3 linked regions of the Nothobranchius furzeri genome follow. The protein of the gene in region 1 binds, or shares a complex with, the protein of each later gene. Links are inferred from orthologs where the notes say so. Each region holds a gene or a part of one and is shown in the gene's direction. Other genes may lie near its edges.

Region 1 (3,751 bases):
GGTCCTGAAAGGCGACACCTTGGCCTGCACCACCAAGGGTCCTTGCCTTCCCCCCCACTCGCAGAGACTTGTCTGTCCTCGGCTGCTAATTATCAACCCACTTTCTCCTCTGTGAGGCAGGGACAAGCCTGTGTTGCATGTTATTAATACTATTGTGAACTACTCAAGGCTGTGTTCCTTGACTCGGCTCATCATGTTACAGGTTTACTGTGCACAACAGAGAAATGGCAGACCCCGTTTTTTATAAAACCACCTATAAATATCACGGGGAACGGCTTTGTCCAGCAATGGTCAGATTCAGGATTTAAAGGCCTTCTTCCTGGGAAAAGAGGGGCTTTATACACATCAAGATGAGGAATTAACTCTGTTTTTGTCCATCTATTAACCAAGTCTCATATTTACAAATGGACTGTAAAATCTGGAAAGTGACACAGCCCCATCTAGAGGCCAAAAGCCCCAGACTGACGACACACTACAAAATATACGCATACAACTTTGTTTTGACCCCCAGGAGGTATGAGCTCAACTCAACAAGCCAATCACGTGATCGGATCTAATCCTGGAACAACACCTCTGGGGACACAAAAGCCATCCAGACCACAGAGAAAAAACCCAAACCCATCAGACTTCTGACTACGTAATCAGATCTAAAGGTCTCAGAAAAAAGTCTGGCAGACAAAAGGAGCTCAGGAAAAGTTTAGTCAGGCTACAAGACCTTTTTTCTGAGACCTTTGATGCAGTGCGGCCTGCTCACTGCCTGCTACTCCCGAAGAGGAAGCGAGCCTTTGTCACTCACTATCCATCAGTCATCATCCAAGACACGGCTGAAGACGCTCTTCTATGATTTGGCTTTCAGATTGTGACTTTTTAAAGTTCTCTTTTATTGTGTGTTTGATTGTAGTTTTTATCTGCTTTTATTGGCTGATTTATTGGTGTTTTTATGAGTTTTATTGTTACTGTATTGTTATGCGCATTTGGTCAGCTCCCATGCTGCTTTTAAATGAAATAAATAAATTGGTACGGTATGAAGTCAGAAGTCTGATGGGGTTTGAATGAAACCTGCTTTTTTCCCTCCATGCTCTGATGTCTGGCACCTGAGGGTGTGCTAAAACGAACAGGCTGCTGCAGTAGAGTCCTCCGTCCTGCGGAGGCGCTGTTCCGTTGCTGTTTGTTAAAAATCGGTTAATCAGACCGGTTAAAGATCCTGCTCGCGCGGAAACCTGCCATTGTAGCTAGCTCTCAACGCGGGTCAAACGTTAAGGTGCATTTGGTCCAGAAGGTGCAGTTTTTGTTTACCGAACACATTTCGTTGGTGTTTTGCTGGAGAGATGGCGTACAGAGGACAAGGACAGAAGGTGCAGAAGGTCATGGTGCAGCCCATCGTATCCTTTGTATGATGGAGAACGCGTGAGTGGAGCTAGGTGTTTAGCAGCCTGGCTAACCGGTGGCCCAGTTCGCTGAACGAACGCGCGGATTCCGTTCCAACTGTGTGATTCTGGTGTTTATGAAAATTAATGAGATGATGCACGTGTTCCGCATCATGTCGGAGAAAAAGAAACGGCCCCGAGGCGAACTTAGCAGCAAAACTAGCGCCGCTAATGCTAATGGCTCCGGTTAGCTGTACCGCTGGAGGTGATGGGAGCTTCTGATCTCCTGAAGCATCGGTTATCCAGAGTACTTTGTAGGACTTTGCAGTTGTAATCGAAAAGGTTCTGAGGACGCCATTGTACAGCTGCCCTCCGACCTCTTCGGGAAATGGCTAAAGGGCAAATTATTCTCTACTCTGACCACCTTTAATCTGCTCTAGCTCGAAAACGACACCACCTGCGCTCTTCAGCCCTGTACTGCAATATCCTAGACTAATGGCAGGTTACTCGAACATAGTTTAAATAGTCCATGATTCATCACATGTGAATTGGATGAACTAAACATTGAAGTTGGACGGTGAAGTTCTGAGTTTTAATTTTATTTTTGGTATTTTACATGAAAAGTTAAAGTCTGTTTATCTGCAGCACTTAATAGCTGATCAGTTTAATCCTGATCTTAATGGGCTTTGTAAACAGTTAGGCTCTGGTCATTTCTCATGTTTAACATTTTATTATCGGGTGAAACACGGGTCGCATTACCAATTTGGATTTTAATATTTAATTTCTACAAGATATACAGTCAGCAGCTATCAGATTATTAGAATTTAGAGTGAGCTGTTTAGCTGAATCCTTCTAACGAAGTGCCCCTAGTGCACACGCGATAATGAATCTTAAGTATACCTTGTTAGATACATGAGCTCCTTAAGGGCTCCTCTACTGAAAAGTACTTTTAAAGCCTGAATTAAACATCTGTCATATTTGAAACAGAGCTGTGAAACCAGGGACCACAAAAAGGTATTAAATGGCCTTTTAAGTAAAGCTTTCACAAATATCAGAGTTGATTTTAATTGTTCTGCTACCAGTGCAGAATAATCCAGTACAGGTTTGAAATGTCTAGGTATTGTTGTTTTGAAACTATGGCTGTTCAGTGTGGTCTAGATGCAGAAAACGTGCTAAAATCTGGTTTCTTGAAGTTTCACAAATCAGAAAAAGGTTTTACAAATCACAAATGATGTTTTTTGCAATCTGCTATTAGTCTAGAATAATCCAGTTCAGGTTTGAAGAGTGCAGGTGTTGTAGTTTTCCAGCCAGAGCAGATTAAAGATGGTCAGAGAAAAATTGGGCGTAATTGCCCTTTAGCGGTTTCCCGGATCTGAAGCCAACTTCAGCCTCGTCTTCCTCAGCCTTTGTGGTTTATAATAACAATAAGTGTAAACATGTTTGTTTGGGTCTAACTAAAGTAGAGTCGGTCAGTGGCATTGGCCCGAACACGAGCAGAACTCCTCTGTGCCGGGTCGGTTACATTGAGATTGTTTGGAGTGGAACCTGTAAGTGAAACCTGAATGAAGGCACGGCCCGAGATGTCCGACCATCAGTCCCAGCCCCGCTGTCATTTATTTTCAGGACATGGTTACCAAATCCTATGTACTGATTTTTATGTTGGCAGCTGCTGAGTGTAACTCTGTTACTTTAAAATGTAATAAGTTACTTTTAATGGCAATGAATAAAGGTAACACTACAACTGAGTACAAATGTAGGCTACAGACGTGCGTGTACTGTTACTGCTGAGCGTTGGTTTTCCTTGACTCTACCTTCAGAACCTTATCTTCAGATACCTTCAAAATGTAAGTTGCTATCCCTTTAGTTTGAAATGGTTTTATTTAGATGAAGAACCTCTAAGTTGTTCCCTGCCTGTCCCCAGCGCTCACGGATCCAGGTGTGGCTGTATGAGCAGGTCAACATGAGGATAGAGGGCTGCATAATCGTAAGTAATGGCTTTGTTTCATTCTTCCTTACCTCCATATGCAACAGGGATGCCTGATAGGTTATCTGCTGCTGGATACCCACGTGGATGGGCTGTTTTTCAGAGTGTTTTCAGGGCCTGTGAAAGGATTTTTTTAACTTTAAAAACTCACCTCACACGGCCCAGAGTTTCTCTAAAACTCATATTAAATATTGAACTTCCTCCGTGCCGTATTGTTCGTTGTAGGATGAAAACTTTACACTTGTCCTGCGGGAAAAGTTCAGCAGGTTCTTTTACGTTTTTGCTGCATTACAGCCTCATTTGGGTCCTAGTCCTTGATCTCTGGAGAACACAGCTGCACCATGAGAATATGAAAGTGTGTCAGGGCTAGGGTTGTCACGGTAACCGGTGTAGCGGTAAA
Region 2 (3,651 bases), on another chromosome or scaffold:
AGAAATAAAAGCATGAATAAGTTTCTCTAAGTCTGGTCTGGACATGAGACCTCTTGGTAGTTGATGAAGGTGATAAAACGCTGATTTAGGCAAAGACTGAACCGGTTAGTCCCACACAATTTGCGAGCCTGTCGAGGAGTACGTTGTGGTTCACTGTGTCAAAGGCTGCACTGAGGTCGAGCATCATCAGGACAGATGCTTTACCTGTGTCAGTGTTGAGACGAATGTAATTTAATACCTTGATCAGTGCAGTCTCAGTACTGTGGTGCTGTCTAAAACCTGACTGAAAACCATCCATAATATTACTTGACTCCAGAAAATTTTTTAGTTGGATCATTGCTCCTTTTACATAATTTTCCCGATCAGAGGGAGATTAGACATCAGTCGGTAGTTGCTCATCACTGAGGGATCTAGTTTCCTCTTCTTTAGAAGGGGTTTAACAGCAGCAGTTTTCAGTGGTTTAAGAAAAATTCTTGACATTAAAGAGCAGTTAACAAGAGGTTAATGAATCCCAGTCTTCAAGTCCCATCATCATCAATCTGGTCTGAATTTTCAGCTCAAACAGGAGAAGTGAACAAAGGTTCGTTTCTCAGATCGTCTCATGACAACTTCAGGTTTTTACTCTGATTACAAGCTGAAGCTAACAAAACAGCCGCCTCAGCATAAATTAGCCTCCAGCCCAAGTTTAGATTAGACATGGACCGATACCGCTGCCTGCATCAGGTCGGATGTCATCTTTTCTCTTCTGAAAAACGCCCCTGTCAGGTGCAGCAGAGCAGCGATCTCATCCAGGTGGAGGTAGGTCAAAGGGTGAAGTACCAGGTTGCTGACTGAAGATTTAATGATCAGAGATTAAACCAGATGTCAAGTCCAGATGTATTTATAAAGCACATTTAAATGGCAGCATCCGTTGCCCCAAAGTGCTGCACATAGGCAGTAAAAGTAAAGCATTAAAATTAAAAAGAGCCAACAGAAACATTAGAAGAGAATAAAATCACAGACTTTTAAGACAAAATACATTAAAAAAAAAGAATAAAACCGATCACATATAAAAAGAGTAAGAAAAGCCTGTGGCCTGTTGATTAGCACTGAAATGCCAAAGCATACTAATGTGTTTTCAAACATACTTTAAAAGAGGCGGTGGTATCAGCTGTCCTAACCCCTAGGGGCAAGCTGTTCCACAGGCCAGCAGCCATCACAGGTAAGGCTCTAGCACCCCTGGTTTTTAACCATTATCTGCAGATGGAGGTCAGCTGATCTCAGCGTCCTAGATGGGACATATGGCTGAATAAGTCCGCAGAGATATGGGAGAGCCAACCCTTGTAGACATTTAAAAACCAACAGCATTATCTTAAAATCACTCCCAGACTTAACAGGAAGCCAGTGAAGACCAGCCATAATAGGAGTGATGTGATCATACTTTCTTGTCCCTGTAAGAAGGCGAGCTGCTGCGTTCTCAACATAATGTGAATAAAGTTGCAAATAAATGATAAATGACCCGCACTTGTATAGCGCCTCTCAGAGTATGGACTCCAAAGCGCTTTACACTACAGTGTATCATTCATCCATTCACACACTGATGGTGATGAGCTATGATGTAGCCACAGCTGCCCTGGGGCGCACTGACAGAGGCGAGGCTGCCGAGCGCAGGCGCCACCGGTCCCTCCGACCACCATCAGCAGGCAAGGTGGGTTAAGTGTCTTGCCCAAGGACACAACAGCAGAATTCTCTGTCCGGAGCCGGGATCGAACCTGCAACCTTCCGATTACTGGACAACCCGCTCAACCTGTTGAGCTACTGCTGCCCCAATAGGTCAGGAAGAACATAGACCTTAATCCTACTAAGTAACCTCAGTTGGAAAAAGCTGCCAAGGTGAGAACTGAGTCAAAAACAACCCCAAGTTCCTAACTGAGACGACAGTAGGAGGAAAGATCTCCACGGCTGCTTTTTGACGGTGATCTCAGTCCTCTGGGTCAGTCTGGGAAAGTGTGTCAAACCATGCCTGCTCATCTTTAAGAACGAACACGAGCAAATGCTATGTTCAACGGGACAAATTCTAATCCTGGACTCTGTCCCCACAGCGTGGTCATCATAGACGAGGCCCACGAGCGGACACTCCACACGGATATCCTGTTTGGGCTGATTAAAGACATCGCCCGGTTCCGACCAGACCTGAAGGTTCTGGTGGCGAGCGCCACTCTGGACACAGAACGTTTCTCCTGCTTCTTTGATGATGCTCCAGTTTTCCGGATCCCTGGAAGAAGGTTTCCTGTGGATATCTTCTACACTAAGGTGAGTTTTCTCCAGCTGTGAAGAGCGAAGGACGAAGACGTTGATGATGAGACGTTTGTGTGTTTGGCTGTGAAGGCTCCTGAGGCCGACTACCTGGACGCCTGTGTGGTATCGGTCCTGCAGATCCACGTCACTCAGCCGCCTGGAGACATCCTGGTTTTCCTCACAGGACAGGTACAGTTACCCCGAGCAGGAGAGCTCCTGATCCAGATTCTCTGATTTATTAAAAAAACAGCAGAGACACAAGTGAGAAACTAACTTTAGAGCAGATCAGAGGCTAGAGACAGGACTAGGTGCTTGATGTTCTGATCTTTTGTTAGAGCGACCCTAAGGAGATGACCCAAAGCAGATGAATAAAGGTGTTTTTGTGTCTCTGCCTCCTGCAGGAGGAGATCGAAGCGTGCTGCGAGATGCTGCAGGAGAGGTGCCGGCGGCTCGGCTCTAAGATCGCCGAGCTGCTTGTGCTCCCCATCTACGCCAACCTGCCCTCCGACATGCAGGCCAAAATCTTCACTCCCACTCCTCCCGGAGCGCGTAAGGTGAGTCCGGCCCCTGGAAGCCGGTATTGTTTGCTAACAATGTGGCGGCGGAGAGAGAAAATCCCTGGAGCTCTAAGGTTTCTTCCGGGCTGCCGCTGAAGAAGTGTAACCAGAAATTCCTTTGAAAAACAGCCGGCTGCGTTCAGAATCTGATATTAATGTTTTCAATTGGTGTCTGACTTACTGACAGAAGAACCGCCCCGGTTCTGGTAAGCCGCTTCTCCGGTAAGGTCCTGTAGATCCTGTAAATCAGTGCTCCTTCCTCCCTGTAACAGGAAGTCTGGAAGGCTTCTGGACCAAACATTCTGAAAAGAAGCAACTTTGTTTTTGGTTTCTTAAATCCAAGTTTATTGAAAATTTAAAGAAAAACATGATTGTGTCTAAATAATACGACCCAGTCCCATACCTGACCCGTGGGACTGTCCATACCATGACAACAACACAGGGATTAGCCCAGAGTTGTTGATAAGGAAAGTCGGGATCCAGGAAACGTTCCCACATCCCATAAATCTTCTCACCCTAGAGGTGCTCGCTGATTAGCGGGTCGTTGGAGACTCAAACGAGGTTGTTGTTGTTCTAATGGAGCCAAAGAACAACCAGAGGCTTTGTCGGGATGTTTAGGGACTGAGGACAAGGTCTGATGATCCACCTGAGACCTGGACATATCTTCTCCACCAGCACCAAACCCTTGAAACCCTTTAGCTTTTTTTATATTCAGACACTCAGAAGTAGAAATATAATCCTAAACTCTGTAGCTGACAGTTGAGTTTGCCGCAGGCCGAACTCACGCCAGATTAAGGCAAAAAACAGTTGTAGAACA
Region 3 (3,344 bases), on another chromosome or scaffold:
ACTCTTAATATGTTTTCTTTGTTACGGTTCTGCTTGAATCCCTCCCACCAGCCTGGAGCCGTGCCTACCTCCAGCTCCTGTTCACATCCTTCTCCGTATTGATTCAATGCTGTTGCTGCCTCTCCACCAGAGACGTGAAGCCAATCGAACACCAGCTCCGTCCAAAGGGCCTCGGCCTGGGAGCAGATCGCTCAGCGATAAAGGATCTGGAGCCCAGCAGACATCAGCGTCCCCCAAAGCCCGGCGAGGAGCGGGGGAAGGAGGAGGAGCTGCTGATGGGTCCTGGGGGCTGTGTGCTGGTGGAGTCGGGGGCACATAGGGATCTTTATGGGAAGGTAGAGCTTCTCCTCTCTCACCTGTTCACCAAGGTTTATCTTTAACAACCTTTCTCAAACTTAATTCCTGTGTGGCAGATCGAAGGTGTGGATGCAGACAACGCTCGGGTGGTGGTGAAGCTTGCTATCGGCGGCAAGGCGGTGACGGTCAGCCAGTACGGCGTCAGACTAGTGGGGAGGAAAGAATATGACAAGTACAGCAAAGACCTCAGTGAGAATTGTGCTTTTTATTCAAAAACTGGCACAGTCGATGAGAAAGCTGCCATCTTTCTCCTGAATTTACCGTCAAAGCGACGGCCCAGACAGTAAAGCACCTAAACAGATTAGGACCCACCTTGTGTTTACAGTAATCTGAAAGTACCGCCTCAGTCAGAATCCACGCTACATTGTTGACGTCCGTCCGTCATATTAATGTCGCCGCTTCTCCCCCAAACAGGTCGGCTCAGTAAAGCACACAAAGACAAGGAAAAGGAGCGAGAACGACGGGGTCGGGAGGAGAAAAGCATCGGCAGCAGCGACAAAGCTAAACATAAATCATCTGAAAGAGATGGAGGGAAAGACGAGAGGAAGAGGAAGCACAGAGAGGACGGGTACGCCTCCGTTTCAACTGGAATCACATCATTCCGCCGCCGTTGTTCAGATTAAAATAAATGCTGTGCTTTATCCTCTTCAGAGACAAGCCTCCAGTAAAAGAAGCAAAGAAACCTGCAGCGCCCCCCTCCTGGCTCCAGAGAGACATCAAAGTCCGCTTCATAGACAAAGCTTTCAAGGGGGGCAGATACTACAACTCAAAGGTACCAGGGCCCAGACAGAACCTTGAGTTTAAAGAAGCCCTTCTATGGAGCTTTCTGTTATTATGGGTACTTTTATGGTTCCACTTTGAAGTAATCACACGGATAAACTGTCAGGAGCAGCATCATTCCCAGATTCTCTCCCTCAGATGCGAGTGGAGGACGTCCTGACGCCGTTTACCTGCGTTTGTCGAACTGAAGAGGGAAGGGTGTTAGATGGTGAGTCACAATGCATTATGGGGGGGGGGGGGGTGACGAATGATGGTCCCTAATGGTTTTGGGTCTCCGTTTAAAGACCGGTCCAGTTTAAAAGATCAAGGCATAGATTTTACTAATAAAGTCCAAATGGATGCAGTCAGGAGGAAAAGGCTCGTGGGAGCGACATGAGTCGGCACGGAGAAGCTAAGTGGGACGCAGTAGGCTTTATTATCGCCCCTTTTACAACAAGGAGCATCCATTTATTTATTCCACTTGACCAATCTTTTATGTAGATCACAGGAAATACGGCTGCAGGTCTTTATGATGCCTTTACCCTCGTTATCTGCAGCAGGTTCCAGCGTCTGACCCACAAACATCGCTGGTTTACCTACAGTTCAATTCAATTCAACTTTATTTATAAAGCGCCAAATCACGACAAGAGTCGTCTCAAGGCACTTCACTTAATAAAAATTCCAATTCAGGTCAGTTCATTAAGCCAATCAGAAATAATGTTTCCTATATAAGGAACCCAGCAAATTGCATCGAGTCACTGACTAGTGTCAGTGACTTGATGCAATCCTCATACTAAGCAAGCATAAAGCGACAGTGGAGAGGAAAACTCCCTTTTAACAGGAAGAAACCTCCAGAGAATCCTGGCTCAGTATAAGCAGCCATCCTCCACGACACACTGGGGATGGAGAAGACAGATTACACACACACACGGACAAGTAATGTGTCTACAGACGGCTGGCTCTAGGAGACGGGACTTGTTTTCCGTTTTAGACTTGTGGAGATGAGGGGTGTTTGGAGTAAAGTCGACGTGGCAGCGGCTGACACCACGTGCACTGATGAGTCGAGGTCTCGCGTGTTTTTAGGATTTGACTAGAACGGCTCTAACCCTTTAGGGTGACATGCATTCCTGCAGGGATGCTGGGACTTTTAGTGGGAGACTAATCGGTGCCTTGCAGAGAAGCATAAGATGTCATTGTGCAGGTAATTAGTGTTCATGTAATTATCTCCTGGCTGCTGCCATGGTAACCGTTTTAACTGTGCCAGATGTGAAGCAGGACATGCTGGAAACCATCGTCCCTAAAGGCGAGTACGACTCTGTGATGGTTGTGCTGGGGGAGAACAGGGGCCAGGTGAGCAGATGATCCTTACTGGTTGTGTAATCATAACCGTCGCTGACCAGCTTCTCTGGCTTGATCAGGTGGGCCGGATTCTTCAGCGGGACAAGAACAAGTGCAGAGCCACGGTCCAGCTGGACAGATGCGAGGAGGAGCTGTTCACGCTGGATTACGACTGCATTTGTCACTACGTAGGAGACCACTGAAGCCTGGTCCTTCGCCTCGTCTTAAGTGTTGCTTTTCTAATGATGGACAGTATTTTAACACTTTGGAATTTTTAATAAAACCTTGGAAAAGTGTTTGTGCAGGCGTTCTTACAGTTACGACGAGCCCCAGCAGATGCTTTTCTCACCAGAGTAAGAACTGATTATGTTAACTGGTGGTTCTAGTAACAACATGAAATCCATTTTATTATAAAACATATTTACAACAAGTTTGATCTCTAAAATGTCAGCATGCGACATCACGTCTAACAACAAGAGGTGTGCGCAGGACGCAGAGCGTCTCCGTGGGAGCGCTTCTCATTCCTTGGGCGGTTGGTTGGCAGCGTTGGCCCGCAGCACCGCGCCTGGACTCGGGTACGGCCGCTGCTGGAACAGCGGGCCGGCGGCTGTGGTGTCTGCACCGGTTTTGGCCTCGTTGCGTTTGGGAAGACCACTCGACCAAGAGCCCCTGTGGAAAACAGTTCAGCAGACCTTTAGAGTGGGCCAGCTTGTTTGCTAACGCCTGGTTGTTTAGCTAGCGCTAGAGCCGTTTCAGCTGGTTAACTTGACCGTTTCGTGTATTCAGCAGACGCGTTTGTCCAGAGTGACTCACAAATGAGCGTTTTTACACACAACACAAATGTGTTGGGCTGTTCTGCAAAAAAAACCTAAAGTTCTGACTTCAGTCGA

The links. Proteins that work in one complex are often made in the same cells at the same time.
Region 2: snrpe (region 1) and dhx16 share a complex: the UniProt entries of both Homo sapiens proteins name them as parts of the minor spliceosome. The link is inferred for Nothobranchius furzeri from reciprocal best matches to the Homo sapiens genes SNRPE and DHX16.
Region 3: snrpe (region 1) and gpkow share a complex: the UniProt entries of both Homo sapiens proteins name them as parts of the minor spliceosome. The link is inferred for Nothobranchius furzeri from reciprocal best matches to the Homo sapiens genes SNRPE and GPKOW.

The regions. Positions count from the first base shown.
Region 1 is NC_091743.1:2,209,475-2,213,225, forward strand, and holds the start of snrpe (small nuclear ribonucleoprotein E), read left to right. Parts: upstream 1-1,188; 5' UTR 1,189-1,328; coding exon 1,329-1,382; intron 1,383-3,184; coding exon 3,185-3,211; intron 3,212-3,288; coding exon 3,289-3,351; intron 3,352-3,751. UniProt on the Homo sapiens protein: Plays a role in pre-mRNA splicing as a core component of the spliceosomal U1, U2, U4 and U5 small nuclear ribonucleoproteins (snRNPs), the building blocks of the spliceosome.
Region 2 is NC_091745.1:60,410,763-60,414,413, forward strand, and holds part of dhx16 (pre-mRNA-splicing factor ATP-dependent RNA helicase DHX16), read left to right. Parts: intron 1-2,081; coding exon 2,082-2,292; intron 2,293-2,367; coding exon 2,368-2,466; intron 2,467-2,678; coding exon 2,679-2,831; intron 2,832-3,651. UniProt on the Homo sapiens protein: Required for pre-mRNA splicing as a component of the spliceosome. Contributes to pre-mRNA splicing after spliceosome formation and prior to the first transesterification reaction.
Region 3 is NC_091755.1:41,965,259-41,968,602, reverse strand, and holds the end of gpkow (G-patch domain and KOW motifs-containing protein), read left to right. Parts: intron 1-130; coding exon 131-335; intron 336-413; coding exon 414-546; intron 547-771; coding exon 772-925; intron 926-1,008; coding exon 1,009-1,129; intron 1,130-1,275; coding exon 1,276-1,345; intron 1,346-2,380; coding exon 2,381-2,466; intron 2,467-2,534; coding exon 2,535-2,657; 3' UTR 2,658-2,750; downstream 2,751-3,344. Other genes in the region: pqbp1 (polyglutamine-binding protein 1), read right to left, coding at 2,973-3,123. UniProt on the Homo sapiens protein: RNA-binding protein involved in pre-mRNA splicing. As a component of the minor spliceosome, involved in the splicing of U12-type introns in pre-mRNAs.